3 linked regions of the Yarrowia lipolytica genome follow. The protein of the gene in region 1 interacts with the protein of each later gene in a biochemical or structural test. Links are inferred from orthologs where the notes say so. Each region holds a gene or a part of one and is shown in the gene's direction. Other genes may lie near its edges.

Region 1 (3,726 bases):
GGTCCAACCCCTACGGCATGGACTCCAAGACGTCCTTCAACCCCACCTCCACCAACGAACCCCCCGCATATGGCCGAACAAATGCCCCCCAGGGCGACATGATGGACTTTTTCGAGGAGGTAGATGAAATCAAGAAGAGCATTCTGCAATACGACCAGAACATTGACAGCATCGAGTCGCTGCACAAGCGGTCGCTCAACGAAATTAGCGAGGAGCAGGAAGCCTACACACGGGAGCAGATTGAGTCGCTGGTTGACGAGACCTCCTCTCTGTCGCAGTCTCTCAAGGACCGGATCAAGTCCCTGCAATCGCGATCCACCAGAGACTCTACCAAAAAGACACAGGCCGAGAACCTCAAGCGGCAATTCATGAACTCCATCCAGCGGTACCAGACCGTCGAGGCCACGTTCCGACAGCGATACCGAGAGCGGGCTGAGCGGCAATACCGAATTGTGCGCCCCGAGGCCACTGACGCCGAGGTGCGTTCCGCCATTGACGACGCCCAGGGCGAGCAGATTTTCTCCCAAGCATTGATGACGTCCAACCGACGAGGACAGGCTCAGACGGCCCTTTCCGAGGTTCAGAACCGACACAAGGAGATCCAGAAGATCGAGCAGACCATGTCGGAGCTGGCCCAGCTGTTCCACGACATGGAGTTGCTTGTGGCCGAGCAGGAGGCCCCTGTGCAGCACATTGACAACCAGACCCAGGGCGTGCAGACAGATATCGAGCAGGGTCTCGGGCACACCAACAAGGCCGTCATCAAGGCCCGAGCCTACCGAAAGAAGAAGTGGTGGTGTCTGCTCATTTGTTTCATCATTGTGGCTCTCGCCGTTGGTCTGGGTGTCGGTATCCCTGTAGCCAACGCTGCCAACAAGAACTAGTCTGGGTGTTATGTAATATTTAATCAGTAATAGGTGGATATCTATGGAGTGTACAGTATAATTAGATGAGTAATATACCAGTACATCCTTGTAGTAAGGTACGTACCGTAGAACGCACGAGTAGTAGAGTGGACTCGCTGTTGATAATAATCAGCACAAAACTTGTAGGGAGTCTTCGAGAACATCAGTATCACAGCTTTTTCACGTCCTCAGTCTACTAGGTCGCGCTTCCTGTTCCATGGACCTTTGATCTGGAAGTCAAAAAAACGCGAAGATCATCTTGATCATCTTCTTTGAATACGAAGATCAAGGGGTAAGTAAGTAGGCTGATCTCAGAAGACAGGCGCAGTGCTTTTTCTTTGGCCACACTACAAGTAGGAGTCTGCGTTTAGGTCTCTTTACCGTATTGTACATGTGCCTGCCTGTTGGCGGCCTTGTCTCGCGGTTGACATCTCAGACCCACGCTATAGCATGCATGAAACAGCGCAGTAAACGACCAAACAATAGAAAACAGGTGAAGAGGGACGCGTGGTCATATGATGATAACATCATGTGATTTTTGCAGTCACATGACACCATACGCAGGCGTAATTGTATCGCGTGATACACTTATTTACTCGGCTGTAACAGTATAAGTATAAGTAGTATGACTTGTACACTCGCACGCTTGGTTTCTTTTATCCTAAGGACAGCCGTGTCATAATACTGTAATTAGCAGCCGCATGTGGCAGCTCACGTTTTGAGCGTTAGCGTGGTTCAGTTGGGAGGGAGACACCAAGCTTTTTACATGACGCGTTGTTGCTGGGTTCCCTATTGGGAGGAGACCGTGTCCGATTGAGTGTTTGGGTTTGGGTTGGGAGGAGTGGTTGCCCCCGCAACGGGCAAGGGATGGGTGCATCAAAACCAAAACGTTTGCAACATGGCAAATTGTTAAGTGACGCAGCATTATCAGATACCCATGGTCGACTTAAATCATTACCAGAAGCTGGAGAAAGTGGGAGAGGGTGAGTATTTGGGTATCGGGAGCGGTTGCATGCTTGTTTGGGATCGCAGAGATGTACAACTGGAGCGGTTTGTTTACGGCCACTGCTGTCAGTATGATGTGTGGTTGGAGTGTTTGTTGACTTGTGAAGAGGCTGTGGAGGAACTTGGGTGTGATGATGAAGACCTTAGTTGTGTGGCACATGGTGTTGAGCGTTGATATGACTCTGGGACAGTACGGTGTATTCGTGTAGGTCTACATCATCCCGTTACCTCGAGCATCGCAAAAGCGCCTGTGAGCTCTACAAGACCCACACATGACGAGATACAAGGAAGAACTTCATGACACGTTACGGCGCGTGTCTACACGAGCAGTTCTGAAAAATCCACAGCACCGCATCTATTCGTACTAACTCAGGAACATACGGAGTGGTATACAAGGCACGAGATACTCTCAACAATAACCGTTTGGTGGCCTTGAAGAAGATCCGACTGGAAGCCGAGGACGAGGGAGTGCCTTCCACAGCCATTCGAGAAATCTCACTGCTCAAGGAAATGCGAAACGACAACATTGTGTCGCTCTACAACATTGTCCACTCCGACTCACACAAGCTCTACCTGGTGTTTGAGTTCCTCGACCTGGATCTCAAAAAGTACATGGAGAGCATTTCGCCCGGCGTAGGTCTCGGCGCCGACATGGTCAAGAAGTTCATGAACCAGCTCATTTTGGGAACCCGATACTGCCACGCACACAGAATCCTGCATCGGGATCTCAAGCCCCAGAACCTGCTCATCGACCGGGAGGGTAACCTCAAGCTGGCCGACTTTGGTCTGGCCCGGGCCTTTGGTGTGCCTCTCAGAACCTATACCCACGAGGTTGTCACACTTTGGTACCGAGCTCCTGAGATTCTTCTGGGAGGTCGACAATACTCCACTGGTGTGGACATGTGGTCCATTGGCTGTATCTTTGCCGAGATGGTGACCCGAAAGCCCCTGTTCCCCGGAGACTCGGAGATTGACGAGATCTTCAAGATTTTCAGACTGCTGGGCACCCCCACCGAGGAGACCTGGCCCGGCGTGACAGCTCTTCCCGACTACAAGCCCACATTCCCCCAGTGGAGCCGCAAAGACATTGGTCGAACAGTGACTCCATTGGATCACGAGGGTCTCGATCTGCTGGAGCATCTGCTGGCATACGATCCTGCATGCCGAATCTCGGCCAAGCGGGCTGCCGACCACGCCTACTTTGACGTGGGAACCAACATGAAGAGTGGATATAACGCTGCTGCAGGTCCGGGGCTCATGATGTCCACTAGAGCATAATTGGAGACGGAGGAGAAAGGTCTATGAACGAGATTGATATTACACTTGAGAAGGATTCTATAATGATTACATGGCATATTAGTGGTTGCGTGGAGTGTAGGCATGGCATGTACTGCAAATTGTATCGTCGATTGTAGTGGTGCCGATACGATTACTGGCCAAGCTTGTACGGTAGCCATTCTCCATGGTGTCTCGACAGCATGAGTACAACTAGTGCATGTGTCAGACGCGTGTCTTTACTTGGATACTTTTGTATAGAAGCTACAATGGGACAGTACAGTATCGTACCTTGAGACTGAGCTGACAGGCTTGTATTCTATTATGGATACAGCCGTGCGAGTATGAGTGAGTTGTATATACAGTAAGAAGCATAGCCGTGCGTAAGAGCATTTGTTTTACAGTTAAATTGTATGAGGGACATCCCTTCTTAGGATCATGATGAGGTGGGCAATTATAGATTGAGAAGGGCATGTTTGCAGCTCTACTAGCTACTTGTAAAGATAGTGTGAATATACCTGTACACGTAGGACGATATGGG
Region 2 (7,477 bases), on another chromosome or scaffold:
GTACACAGGTAGTGGTTGACTTGACCGAGCCGAGCAAGTACGTCACCAAGTTTCTCGAGTGGGCTATCATGCTTTCGAGACGCCGGCGGGCCTCGCGGAATTCTCCTCGATCAAGGAGGAGAATTTACTGTCCTGCGCAGATATGCTGAAGCTGAAGGAATTGAGGTTGAGACCACGCATACCAATGATCACGTTTCACCGCATCCGAACCTCTCACGTCTTCCGACTTTCGGATCGGTGTGTTATGTGTGCACCCTGATGTTCAGCGGGACTAAGCTGCAAGAGACGGCGCTTATAGGGATCTGTGTGGCCATGTCCAATATGGCAAGCACTACCTAGTCTGGGATCTCCTTGAAGGCCGAGTTTGCCAGTCTCCATTTGCGCGTTTCCTGGAACGCCGACCCCTTGCAGACCACATGGAACGTCATCTGGGTCTTCTTGAAACCCGTATGGTCCAAACCTTTGACTCTGAGAACCCTTCTTTGATCCCCCAGTCTGGCGGACTTGTTTCCAACAATACGAAGAACGACATCTACACCTCGAATGAATCGGTTTCACCACTCTAGATACCAGAGACGCGGCGACTGTTGACGGGGGAATGTCCTTCCCATCCTTTTGTAACTGATGGCAGGATGGACATTCGAGATAAAGGCTTGGAACGGGCTGGCGAAGCGTATACTGGTGGCACATACCTTGGACTCGTTCCTGAATGACGACTTGGAAACACATCAACCCCACTGGCAGTGGCTACTGATGGGATTCTCCCTGCCGAGGAGACCATACCCGAGAAGTTCCTTACATACTAATGTGAAAATCGGCAACCCCCAGACAAGCCCGCTCTACGTGGCAAATGCTCCAGCACCAGACCCCAACGCGAAGTGTTGCCGATGGCGTCCCCGTACAGGCCTGTCTACCCAGCATGACGAGTTACTCACCAGAAAGGTGTGGGCTCGCTCATTCACCCATTCACCAGAGAGACTCTCGATCAGTGGATAAATATCTACAAAGTCCATCCATCTGCGACAAAGCTGGTTCCTCTAATCATTAATGAGGATTTCTCATCAACGTATTAGTCAGGTATTACCCTACCGGCTTACATAACAGGTTTAGACCACGCCAAATGTCTGTCTTTAACCCTGCTCTAGGCGAAAATTCAGAATAGAGTTTGTCAATAACACGTTGAGGGACGCGCGGATGAAGGGATAAAACCGCGTTTACGGGGGTTTTTGGGAGGTTTGGTCACGTTATCAGGGTAATCACGTGACAAAACCTCCATCCGCGGGCGTCCCACCAACGTTCTGCGTACGCCAAAGTGCATTTACGACGCATTTACGACGCTTGGCGGGCTCTACCCTAACCCCAATGCAGCAGTGTAGACGCGTCACGAACTAGTTGCGAGTTTCAGTCTCACCCAGCACGCCTAAAAGTAGTGACGAGACTGCGATAATGAATCAGGAGAAGATGAAGGAGGAGAGTGAGTAACCACAAGAGAAGAGAAATGAGTGAAGCCCGCGGCATGTCGGGTTTGGCGGGACCTGATAAGGTGGGTTTGGTGATTTGAGACGGTGGGGTGTGGGATGAAGATGGAACGAGTTGGCAAGCGATTGTTCGTCATGTTGAGCAGTTTAATAAGGTCCATGGTTTGTGCACGGCTTCCTTTTGTGTGGTATGCTACTGGAGTGGCGTGTTCTTACCGTGTCAATGTCTTGCTCTGGATCCAAGTTATGGATCGTAATGCTACAATTTCTGAAAGATGACCTGGCTCCATCTTTTTCTACGGGATACCAAAAGGACCGTGTCTTGGGAACAGTGCGACCGGCAAAATCACAGTTATCAAACCCGCAGTCTCTACATGTCTTCCTCAATCTCACAATACCGGTGTTCCCACCAACGCGATCAGAATGCTGCCAGTTCCACCACTCGCACGCATGACCTACTTGTCACCGTCTCAGCATATCAAGCGAACCTCTTTTGGGTTGTGTCAGAGCAGTCAATCATCAAAGCGCCCCGAGAGCGGGCTCATGGCAATGCCAACTGTGTGAACTTGCTGCCAATTACAACGGTTCTATTATACAAACTTGGCGCTGAACGGTTACAAACGTGTCATGGACAACTACCAACTCTTGCAGCCGACTCGTTTATCCTGCCAAATCTGTTCACCTTCCCGCGTGCTGCTCTTCTGCTTCCTTTCTTTGCTAACCCAGGTCTCTCCCTTCCCATCTCAACCCCGTCGGCAGATGTGATCATCATCGATTGCAACTCGCTATGCGACTCAAAGCTCTACACAAACCCGTCCGTCATCTCGACCGCCGTCTATATGGTCGGCACGGACCCGCTATTCGGCCCTATTCTCGGCATCGTTTACAAAACGGACAAATCACATTCCTGCGTCATCATCTCGCGCCACGGAGCTTCCGGGTTCGTCGACATGACCCTCAGCCACAAGAGCCGATACTACGGCGCAGTCAAAAACCTCGAGGACAAGTCCTCGGCTGTGTCACGCGCTCTAGGTATCGCCCTCCTGCGTGCCTATGTCACCATGGACAAGAACATCCGTACATATCTCGCCAAAAACGCTCTCCAAACGTCCTTCCTCTACGATTACGATGAGACATGTGCAGGAAAAACGGCCTCTCAGCTTGTTGTGGGGGATGGACATGGTCCCGAGGAGATTGGTAAGCTGGTATTAGAATCTGGTGTTGTCGAACCCAAGTTTGTGCGTTCCAGTGCGGTGGATATCGTCTACGAAGACAGCGACGAGACTATTGAGGATAACAACCGGCTCGTGTACCTGCTTGGCGAGCAGCTCGAGCAGCTGTTTGACCCACTGAGTGAGTACTCGCCCGAGGGTGTTGAGGAGGTTTACGAGCCCCCTAGAGACGAAGATACAGACAGACGCGGTGCTGGCGGTGATGTCGACCAGGAGGACGACGAGAACGGTCGCGAACCAAGTCCCACATCGTCCAACTTTTCCGATTCGGCTACACTCACGTCCGTGTGCTATGAGCTCATCACCATCCAGAACAATTTCCGCGACGCGCTTATCTCGTTTTTGCAGTCGTATCTCATTCCGCTGCGAATCCAGGTCATCAATGGCGCCATCCCCTCGCTAAACATGACAAAGTTGAATTCCATCTTCCCACCCACCATTGACGAGATTGCTCGAATTCACAACCTATTCCAGACCGCGCTCAAGGCTGCGACGCCGTTTGGCTCGTCGGAAATCGTCAGAGCCACAGGAATGACTCTTCCTTACTTTTACAAGCCGTGCATGCGCCACGAGGCTGCACTGAGGTCTTTTTCCGATCTCTATGGCGACTACTCTGCGCTGATTGCCGAGTCTGGCTTTGTGCCTCCAGTTCCCTACTCCCAGCAGCGGATCCAGTCAGTTCTGGCCGCTTCTCAAAACCTCACCAAGATCAAGCTGCTGCTGGATCGTATTGTAAAGCTCAGCAACTGGGGCGACAAGCATGATGCGACCATGATGTACTACCATGCGGCTGTCAACACAATTGAGAGTTTTGCGCGGGTGGAAAACCACGTGGTCTACGACAAGCGAGTCTTTACACCAACTGGTAAGATTCTCGTTGAGTTTGCCTCCGGCTGGCCGAGAGAGCTACAGTACGGGTGGATAAACCGAAGAGTTGTGAGCATTTTCGACGTCACGAGTGTGTTTGAGACGCGTGAAATGCGAACCGAATCGCGTAACACACAACAACACAATGGTTCCTCTCCTTCGTCCTCAAAAGACTCAATTCTCATCATCTTCACCGATCACATTCTTCTGCTGGAAGTCGAGCCCTCATACTCGTCGACGATTCAGACACAGGCGCAGAAAAGAATCGCGTCGGGTGTTTCTTTCCACTCGGTGTCCATCGCCGACATGCTAATGCATTCGCTGATCAACGAGGTTGCCGTACCACAAATTCCGCCTCTCAGAGTCAAGTTCTGGGCACCCATATCACACGTTTTTGCTTCCGAATACAACTTTGGCCACAACCTGTCGCTGTTTGCAGTCGGAGGGTTCAACACAGCCGAATATGGCAACGAAGGTATTGTCCCCAACAGCCTGGAGAACGCCACTGGAGGTTCTGGAAGCTCCACCACGACACTACTGTTCACCCTCAAGACTCCGGTTGCACCCAAGATTGTAGAGCTCTGCACTAAGGCGAAGATCATGTCGAAGACACAACCGTTCCATCTCTTTCACCACCAGAAGACTCACGGTCTGAATCTGTTTATGACGGTGCATGAAATGCAGGGCTATCTGTCTGAGCAACGAAAGTCTCCCATTGCCATCTTTCTGAACATGGACGGGTCCGATGGCAAGCAGCTCGCACGTGAACTTACAAAGCGCCACGAGCTGGACGCAGCCTTTTCCATCTCGCTGCTGTCCAACGAGAGTGCCCATGTGACGCTGCACTCCAAGTTTGCCTACACCCTCGACCGCCAGGTGAGTCTGGACTCGCTCGCCAACTTCATCAACACCGAGGTCTCCAATCTGTACACGCTGTATCTGTCTCCGGCCAACCCCGAGATGGTCGAGAGCATTGTGCAGGGAAACGAAATGGTGGCACAGCAGCTGATGGATTTTGCGACGCGCCAGGCCCACACAAAGCCTACCAAACCCGTGCAGAGCAAAAGCATGATTGACGATGCGGCGCTGGTGGTTACGGGCGTGAGCAAGCCCGTCCAGGGAGTGCACGCGAAGCCGCCTGTCCCTGCCAAGGATGTCAAGAGTGCGAAGCCCAGTGCGAAGCCTTCTGCCAAGGCTCCTACCAAGGCATCTCCCTCGTTGAAATCAAAAAAGTCGGTGTTGTCGCTGCTCGGCAAGTCACCCAAGAACAGTCCCAATCCCGAGCTCAACCGGAAAGACAGCATGTGGATGAAACTCAAGGGCAAGTTGCGATCACCCAGTTTGAGAGAGGAAGATGAAGATGAAGATGTGGTTGAGAGCGGTAGAGTGCCTGACGTACCCCAAAAGATCAACGTGCCCCCTCCTGTGCCCGTGGTGCCTCCTACGGGCGAGATGCATGGTCTTGGTATTTCTGCCAAGACTCCTGAGATGGACGGTGGGAAGTTTGGAGCGGCGGAGACTCCTCGGCCAACGCTTGAGAACGACCCCGATGTCACTCCCAAGGTTGTTCGTCGCAAGAAGTCGTTTGCGGCTCTCCGGCGTGGAATTCAGACCAACAGTGACGATGAGGATGGTGCTGAGGTGGATGATATCGGGTATGGAGACGTGGATAACCCGAGAGTGAACTCGGAATCCACTTATGGCGGTGAATCAGGGGCGCACGGGGCCGATAGAGCCGTATCTGGCGTTTCTGACGCTACCAGGGCAGTGTCATCTGATTACGGAGCAGTTTCAGAAGCTACCCGAAACTTCTCCGGCATTCAAGGTGTCACTGGAGACCCGAGGGCGGCTGAGTTACGTGCAGCATCCGGTGTCCGATCCGTGTCTCGACCCCTACCAGTCCCGAATGCTGATAGAACCCCCTCCACAGCTACCGCCATTTACTCTGGAAACGATACGTCAGCTTTCAACTCAAGCTCTGGCTACAATTCCAGTTCGGTCGCTGCAAACACCACCTCTTCAGGTATCTACGATCCCACGGGAGTGTATGCCAACACCACTAATGGTACCACCTCTGGTGTCTACCCTGACGCCAGTACTCGAGCTGTGTTCAACAACACTACGACCAACTCCTCAGGATACAACACCACCAACCCAGTGGATGCTCTCGGGGTGTTTGGCGCCCCCGCTGCTTCTGGTGTAGTTGGTACAGGATCCATTGTCGTTACTGACTCTTCTGGCGTAGACACATCAGCCAGCCAGCCAGGAATCACCTCTAGCGGCTCAATTCGACCAATCAAGAAGGAACCCAGCCATCCAGTGTTCGACTCCAACCATCAATTACCCACATCACATTCCCACTACTACACGTACTCTGGATCGGAGTCTGAAGACAATGTGGCCAACCAAAGACACACCTGGAACGACTCGTACGACTCGGAGCTAATGGGTGGGGGCCATGGACGAAACATGAGCTCGCTGGAGAGCCTGGACTGCGGCGAATCACGTGACGCCAGCGTTTCCCACGCGTCACGTGACTCCCGCAACGACGTGAAGCTGTTTGATTTCATCAAGACCAATCGGTCTTCAGCAGCTGACCCCGACTGCGTTGATGACGTCAGCGAGTTTTCCTCGTTCCACTCGAGTGAAGAGTCGTCGTCACGTGGTAGCGACTTTAATGACTCGCGTCGGTTTGAGGACTCCCGGCGGTTTGATGAGAGCCGGGACTTCATGGCCGAGTCACGTGACCAATCTCGTGTGTATCCGTCGCAGGCTCAATCGCGTGACCAATCGCAGTACTACGACCAGTCACGCGACTTTATGGCCGACTCGACGTCGGACCTGCAGGCGGCTCGAAACTATCTGGCGTCGCGCGACTCGGACGAGTCCCGTGATTTCATGGTTGACTCATCCCGGGACTTTCTGGCTGGTTCATCACGAGACATTCTGCCTCCCGGTACGTCGCGTGACGACTCTGCGCGCCAATTGCGACACATGAAGTCTTCCTCCATGGCGCAGTTCAAGTATCCTCCTCCTCTTCCTCCTATTTCTTCCGAGAACCCGGCCGAAGACGAGTTTTCGTCCTTTTCCTATCTTGCTGGTATTTTGCAGGGTAAGGTTGCGCTTGGTGAAGAAGACGGCAAGTCTTTGGAGAGTGCCCATGCACGACGGACGTCCAAGAGTGCCCGGGTGTACTCTCGAAATCCCGTTGACACCTCCCAGGTCCCTCAGTCGGAGTCTTTCACCTCTTCCATCGAGAGCGGGTCGACTGGAGGAGCTTTGTACCCTGATTTGCGAGACTCGTCCATTATGTTTCTCGGCAAGTATGTGAGGGATCGAAGTCCGGCAAAGGGACAGACGAGGGTGAAGAAGGAGTGGGTGGACGAATACGAGTAAGGCCAAACTGTGGAGATGGCAATGGCGATACGCGTACTATGAGTAACAATTCAACGGTGCAAGCACAATAGATAATAATGCATAAATTGGTTGATAAACTGCTGTGGGCGAGTTTAACACAAGTAGATGTACAAGTATTGCAAATGTTCTTGGTGTTTCTCATGGGGTCGACAGGACAGGTGCAACGTCTCCATGTGGACGTCCGTTATATTGTTAATCTGACACTCAACTAATTTGTTGAAGAGCCTCACCACAAATCGAACCCACGGTCTCATATGCCGAAAAAAAAATACAAGGTCTGATATTATTAAGCGATATGCATGATGCTGCAGTACACTGATCTCATCACCACATCTGCAAAAAAACACAACCAAATCAACCCCCGAATGAAGTGAGTATGAGATAATGGAGGGGACTCAGAGGGGAGGGAGAAAGTCAAATCAAAATCATTAGGCCAGAATACAGGGCGCGATTTGGCGATCATCAATGGCTCGCGGCATGGTT
Region 3 (6,364 bases), on another chromosome or scaffold:
CAAGAATGAACCAATCTCACATGTTTGTCCAAGTGCGGATTTGTCTCACCTGGACCCCTGTCTTGGAATGTCTTGGTCATATTATTTGGCTCCTCTAGAAACCCGTTTGCGGGTAAGGAAGCAACCTGTGCATGTTGCATCACGGCCCGCACTGCCACTACAAGTACTGTACGGTAGAGGCAGTTGAGACAGGTCTATTGAGATGGAATGGGTTTTGAAACAACAAATATACATTATAATTCTCTTTTTTTTTAATACATTCTGTCAGTTCGCCGAAGAAAAATACCTTAAGAATGTCATTTCTTGCTCGTCAAAGAGAGGTTGAAAAACATCATTGAACTTCAACTGAAGTGCTTCCATCTACAAGTTTTGTTTGGAAACAGAGAGAGACAAATCCCTTCCAGATACAAGTAGCTTTTGTTAAAGATAATTAGACCATGTACTGTATCATTAAAATAGGGACAGCAATCCCATGTTCCAGATACGTAACGAGAAAGTCATTCATTAACGTGTTCACCATTTGAAACTTCCTAAGTGCGTTTATTATTACTGCTGTATCGAGTGTAGCAGATTTCTTTCGTTTTTTTTATGATTCCGTTTATTTCCATATGACTTTAGTTGAGTTTAGTTGATACCCGATGTGAAAACACCCTACACATTAACAATCTTGTGCTCATACATACTGTACTTGACTTCTGTTTCTCTACAGCATCAATGTTCACCAAATTTCAAATTTAGACGCGTAATACCACTCATGTGGTTAGGGTTAGCACGGATCTCTCAAACACGATCCCGAGTGCAAATATCGCATTTTACACCTTTATTGCATTTAGTACAATATCTATATATATATAGACACCCTATCTTATCACTTACAGTACTTTCCTTACACTTGCTATCTTACTGCACGTGTCACTGTGTTTTTTTTTTTTTTCTGCATATACATTCATTTAATTATAACTTTGCTGTGAAAGAATAACCTTTGAAATGAATGTACGCTTACACGAATATTACTAATTAAACACGTTTAGTGTCATGGTCCAACTTGGCACGTACCTATTTCCAGTAAAAAAATCATAAAAAAACCTGGTTCAGTCCGTGTTGTATGTTGGTCCACATAGCTTCGCGTGTTTGTTCGTTCATCGGGAAAACGCCACTCCAGTCTCCAGTTCTCTAATCTCAATCCTTCCATTGCCCTCTTCGTTTGCATTGCCTTTGAAAATGTCTCCTTGTGGTTCTTCTTCGTCATTGGTTTGGTTCTGCGTCCCCTGTGGTGACTACGCGCCCTGCTACGCTGTTCTCTCGGTGGCCTCGGCCGCCTTTTACGCTTGCTACTGTGTCTACTCTCGCTCATCGTGAAGTGCTGGCGGTTGTCCATCGTAGAAACACATCTGGGCTTCCTTCAGGAATTGAAGCAAACCCTGTTGGACATGTCCCAGGGTGGCGTCGTCCCCTGAGTACCGGAGGGATCTCTCCATCTTCCAGATCCCATATGTTCTCACGGTGACTTCTGTGAAACCCACCAGATCTGAAGCAACGCCACCTTAACCGTGTCGACGTGACGCGTCAGACACGCAGTGACACACAAATTGAAAAACATACACACCTCACAACATTGATCTGATCCACGCCACCAAACAACATGTCGAGATATTTTCTGGGGTCTGTGCCCCAAGATGATCCGTCACCGGCTGCTGAAGAGGACGAAGACCCGTCCTCCGACTGGTCGGCAGCCACACCCATAAGGCCAAGGGAAAACATCCCCAGTTCGGAACAGTACGAGTCCAGTGATGGCCACATTTCTTGCATTCTCTCCCCGCTAGACAGGAACATTGTGATCCCTGACCAGAGCGACGAGCCTCCGATTCCAGTGGTCCTTGATCCAACCGAAATCCTTCTGAGACGCTACCGACCCGAATCATTCAACAACTCTGCCGCCAGCTCAGCGGCAAATTCCACAACGGTAAAGGCTTCTTCGGCTGGTTCAGATGCCAACGCCACAAGCAACTTCACCAACAACCTGGATCTCAACACGACAGTCATTGCAGACGATCCGTTCGTGGAGGCGGTGTGCTCTACGCCCAAGGGAAGGGACATTAGCGGACGCTTTGAAGAGACTACACCAACAAGAGGTCCACCCGCTCCAAAGCCAGAAGAGTCTTACAAGTTGTCATCTTCACCGCCAAAGGCCACAGCTGAGAAGCCTTCCATAACCACCAGCATCGAGGGTTTGAGTAGTCAGCTTGATATCCTTGATGACTTGGATGACGACGATATTGATTTTGCATTGACCCAACATACCCAGAAAAAGAAGGAAGTCAAGTTAACACAACCTACCATTAAAAAGGAAACTGATATCCACGTTTTGAAGGACATTGAGGACCTAAAAAAAACGCGTGGGTCTCCCATTAAGCTTTCAAAAGCATCAATGGGGTCTAATATTAGGCCCCTGACTGAAGTCAAGAAGGTTGATGTCAAGTCATTCATTGACGACCTGGAGGACGAAGACTTTGATAGTGATTTGGAACTCGAATTCACACAGGTTCGGGCCAAGAAGAAGCCGCGCCTTCAGACATCGAGATATAAGCTCGTCACTGACCATGTTATGTCTCAACGAACTCACAAGGAAAACGCCTTACCCGTGGAGATTGACTACAAACGAGACGATGTTCTGCGGTTCAGAATCGTCGAAGTGGAGGAAAGTTCGACTCAGATCGCTCTAGTTGTGGAGGACAGCAAGGCCCAGCAACACCGTGTTGCTTTGCGAGGTTGCTGGATGCGAGCAATACCTTGTGTGGGAGACATTTGTCATTTGATCGATGAGTCATCAAATGACGACATGGATCTCGATTTCGAGATGGATTTCGACTACATTGTGGACGACATGAAGGGCGATATGCTTTTTATTCTGAATCCTGACACTCTGGTGACCTGTACAGCCGTTGCTGAGGCCCACCAGTGCACTCGAAACGTGGTTCTGAAAGACAAAATGCAGGGACCGAGAGGAATCGGGTCTATTTTTGCACTCTTGGGTGTCATTATCCACGAGACCATCCAGATGTGCTTTGGAGCTGTGAGATACGACGCCGAGTTTGTGGAGTCATGTGCTGAGACCGTTACCAAAGCAAACATGGATGGCATCATGCTCTCTGGTGAGAGTTTTGACTCTGTGTTTGCCAAAATCAAGGACCGACTACCGAACATTGTGGAGTGGTTTAGAGAGTATATGCGTCAGACTCCCTCTGCAGTGGCGATTGAGAATCGAACAGGTAAGAAGAGAACTCTTGCTATCACCAAAGTTGTCGATGTTGAAGAAGAGATCTGGTCTCCGCGATACGGAATCAAGGGTAAGATCGATGCCACCATTGAAGTCCGGGAGGGAAACCACCGATACTTGGTTCCTCTGGAAGTCAAGACGGGAAAATCTACAACTCATATTCCCCACCGGTCGCAAACGGCGCTGTACACTCTCATGTTGCATGATCGGTACACTTGTCCCATCAACTTTGGAGTTTTGTATTACTCTGCCACCTCTGAGACCCTTGTCATTCCAGCTGTCAAGGACGAAATTCATAACCTGCTTGCTATTCGAAACGAGGTTGCTAGCTTCATGCGACAAGGGTCTCGAGACATGCCTGACGTTATCTACGATCAAGGCCAGTGTGACCGGTGTTTCCAGAAGTCGGAATGTATGGTCTATTACCGACTCTACGATACGTATTTGAAGGAGTATATGGGTGAAGATGGTGGAGCGACCGCCAACAAGGCCAGATTCTTGCAGGAGACCGAACATGTGACTGAGAAGGACTCTCAATTCTTTAACCACTGGGATGCCTTGCTGGCCAAGGAAGGAAGTGATACTGCAGTGCTCAAACGAGAGGTGTGGACCATGCTGTCCAAGGATAGAGAAAGGGAAGGGAGGTGAGTATTGATGAGATTATGCTGCCTTTAATTTTACTAACAGAGATGTTTCTCAAGCCTTATTATTGACAACGTGGAGAAGAATGCCAATTCATTGTGGTACACGTTCAAGTCTCCTGATGGAAGCGAGATCCCCTATGCATCTGTCAACATTTCGCCGGGTGACCGAGTAGTCATTTCTGATGAGGCTGGTCATTACTGTTTGGCTATGGGTACTCTGCTTGGCTCGTCTTCAGAGACTGTGCGATGTGCTCTTGATCGTCGACTTGAGTTCTCTCTGCAGAAACTCCAGGGTTTCAGATCCAACGACAACCAGGTTTTCCAGAGCATGCTGACCCACAGTTCTCAGAGCCATGAAGCCCCCATAGATTTTAGGTTTCGGGTTGATCGTGACGACTTCGCTTTTGGCCTGGGAGTTGCCCGTAACAACCTGTTTTCTCTGTTTGCCAAGCATCTCGGTACCGATGAGAGCCCCCAGAAGATCGAGCAACTGCGTTCATGGATTGTTGATTTGGCACCCCCTCAGCCTGTTGCTGGAGAGCCCACTGTCAAACTCGGTCGACTCAATTCCGACCAGACTAGGGCTGTCCACCACATCCTGAACTCAAAGGATTACAGTCTTCTACTAGGAATGCCTGGAACCGGTAAGACCACCACCATTGCTGAGATTATCATGGAGCTGGTCAAGAACGGAAAGACTGTTCTCCTGAGTAGTTTCACTCATTCTGCTGTCGACAACATTTTGTTGAAGCTGATGCAGCACCCTTCATGTAACTTCGACATGCTGAGATTGGGAAGCACCTCCAAAATTCACCCTGAGGTTGCGGAGCATTACGCAGCCAACAACCGACGGAACTACGAGACCCGAGAAGAGTTCGAGAAGCTTTTTCTTGCTCCTCCAGTTGTTGGTGCAACTGCCTTGGGTATTGGAGACTGGGTTCTTCAGGAGCGTCATTTCGATTACTGCATTGTTGATGAGGCCTCCCAAATCACCCTTCCTTTCTGCCTCGGTCCAATCCGCTATGCAGACAAGTTCGTTCTTGTTGGAGATCATTACCAGCTGACGCCCATTGTCAAGAATCCGGAAGCTGCTGGACTGCGAGAGTCTCTTTTCAAGATGCTATGTGACGCACATCCCACCCAGGTAGTTAATCTGGGTATTCAGTACCGAATGTGTGCTGATATCATGTTGCTGTCCAACACTCTGATCTATGATGGCAAGCTGAAGTGTGGTAGTGACGAGGTGGCCAACCAATCTTTGGCTGTTCCTCAGCTCTCCAAACTGCGTACTTTGTACGCCGATGGACTCCCCAATGGCGACTATCTAGGTCATGTTCTGGATCCCAAGCGGAAGGTTATCTTCCTCAACACGGATCTTGTTCCTGCGCAGGAAACTATTGCCGGCGATAGAATCCATAACCCCACTGAAGCTGTCATAGTGGGCCAGATTGTGGAGGCTCTTTGTCTGTGTGGCGTTGAAGACTCACAGATTGGATGCATCTCGCAGTACAGAGCTCAGCTGAAACTTATCAACAAGGAGCTTGCCCTGCGAAGTGGCATCGAAGTTATGACCGCAGACAAGTTCCAGGGCCGAGACAAGGACTGCATTGTGGTGTCTCTCGTGCGGTCAAACAACGAGCAGCGAGTCGGTGATCTTCTCAAGGATTGGCGACGGCTCAATGTGGCCTTTACGCGATCTCGATCCAAGCTCATTGTCATTGGATCTCGAGCTACCCTTGAGTCGTTTGATCTTCTCAAGGAGTTCTTGCGTCTGATCGATGACAATGGATGGATGTATTCGCTTCCAAAGGACTGTACTAAGATGTACAGCATTGTCAAACAGGGTACTTCCCCTAGAAAGAAGCAAAAGCGTGTTGGCCTGAGCCAGCGCTTGATCGATAACCGGCCTATCATGAAGAACATTCTTGAGGGTCTTTAGATAATATATATTATTTCCATTCATTTAATTCTCAACTTGTCTACTTATGGTTGGCTGCTGCTACTTGTAACTAATACATATATCAACACTGTCTTCATTCACGATTATACTCACTACGTAATTAGTTAGACTACACTTTGCTATCATCACTTACTGCACTCCAATCTGAAGAGAAGGCGTCTGATGACTCTAGCGATAGCAGATCTCCATCCGAGAATTGCGGCTCCTTGGCATCTCGGATATCTGCTTCTCCGTAGCCAAACTTCCACTTCTTGGGCGGTGTCTGGATGACGAGCCTTTCTCCAATCTTCTGCCACTCAGCTTCAGAGTCATCATTAACACACCTGACCCTAGGAAGCGTCTTCAGGGTCTTGAGAATAGCGGCCACATGGAGAGGAAGGCTTCCAGAGCCCGACTCAAAAGTGATAACAATCTGTTTCTCATTATCGGGGTCGATTTCTGAGATTCCAGAGTCGGTCTCAAAGTCAGAAGGGAGATCCTTGA

Evidence for each region.
Region 2: of the proteins of YALI1_B14418g (region 1) and YALI1_C23359g, one has a biochemical effect on the other in vitro, tested with the Saccharomyces cerevisiae proteins (3 studies listed by BioGRID). The link is inferred for Yarrowia lipolytica from reciprocal best matches to the Saccharomyces cerevisiae genes CDC28 and BUD3.
Region 3: of the proteins of YALI1_B14418g (region 1) and YALI1_E39500t, one has a biochemical effect on the other in vitro, tested with the Saccharomyces cerevisiae proteins (2 studies listed by BioGRID). The link is inferred for Yarrowia lipolytica from reciprocal best matches to the Saccharomyces cerevisiae genes CDC28 and DNA2.

The regions. Positions count from the first base shown.
Region 1 is NC_090771.1:1,440,375-1,444,100, reverse strand, and holds YALI1_B14418g (uncharacterized protein), read left to right. Parts: upstream 1-1,842; coding exon 1,843-1,888; intron 1,889-2,283; coding exon 2,284-3,188; downstream 3,189-3,726. Other genes in the region: YALI1_B14441g (uncharacterized protein), read left to right, coding at 1-884. UniProt on the Saccharomyces cerevisiae protein: Cyclin-dependent kinase that acts as a master regulator of the mitotic and meiotic cell cycles. Required to drive the G1-S transition. More than 200 substrates have been identified. Substrate specificity is in part regulated by the bound cyclin protein.
Region 2 is NC_090772.1:2,334,239-2,341,715, forward strand, and holds YALI1_C23359g (uncharacterized protein), read left to right. Parts: upstream 1-1,753; coding exon 1,754-6,973; downstream 6,974-7,477. Other genes in the region: YALI1_C23415g (uncharacterized protein), read left to right, coding at 7,360-7,364.
Region 3 is NC_090774.1:3,948,398-3,954,761, forward strand, and holds YALI1_E39500t (uncharacterized protein), read left to right. Parts: upstream 1-1,642; coding exon 1,643-3,921; intron 3,922-3,966; coding exon 3,967-5,860; downstream 5,861-6,364. Other genes in the region: YALI1_E39553g (uncharacterized protein), read right to left, coding at 5,991-6,364. UniProt on the Saccharomyces cerevisiae protein: Key enzyme involved in DNA replication and DNA repair.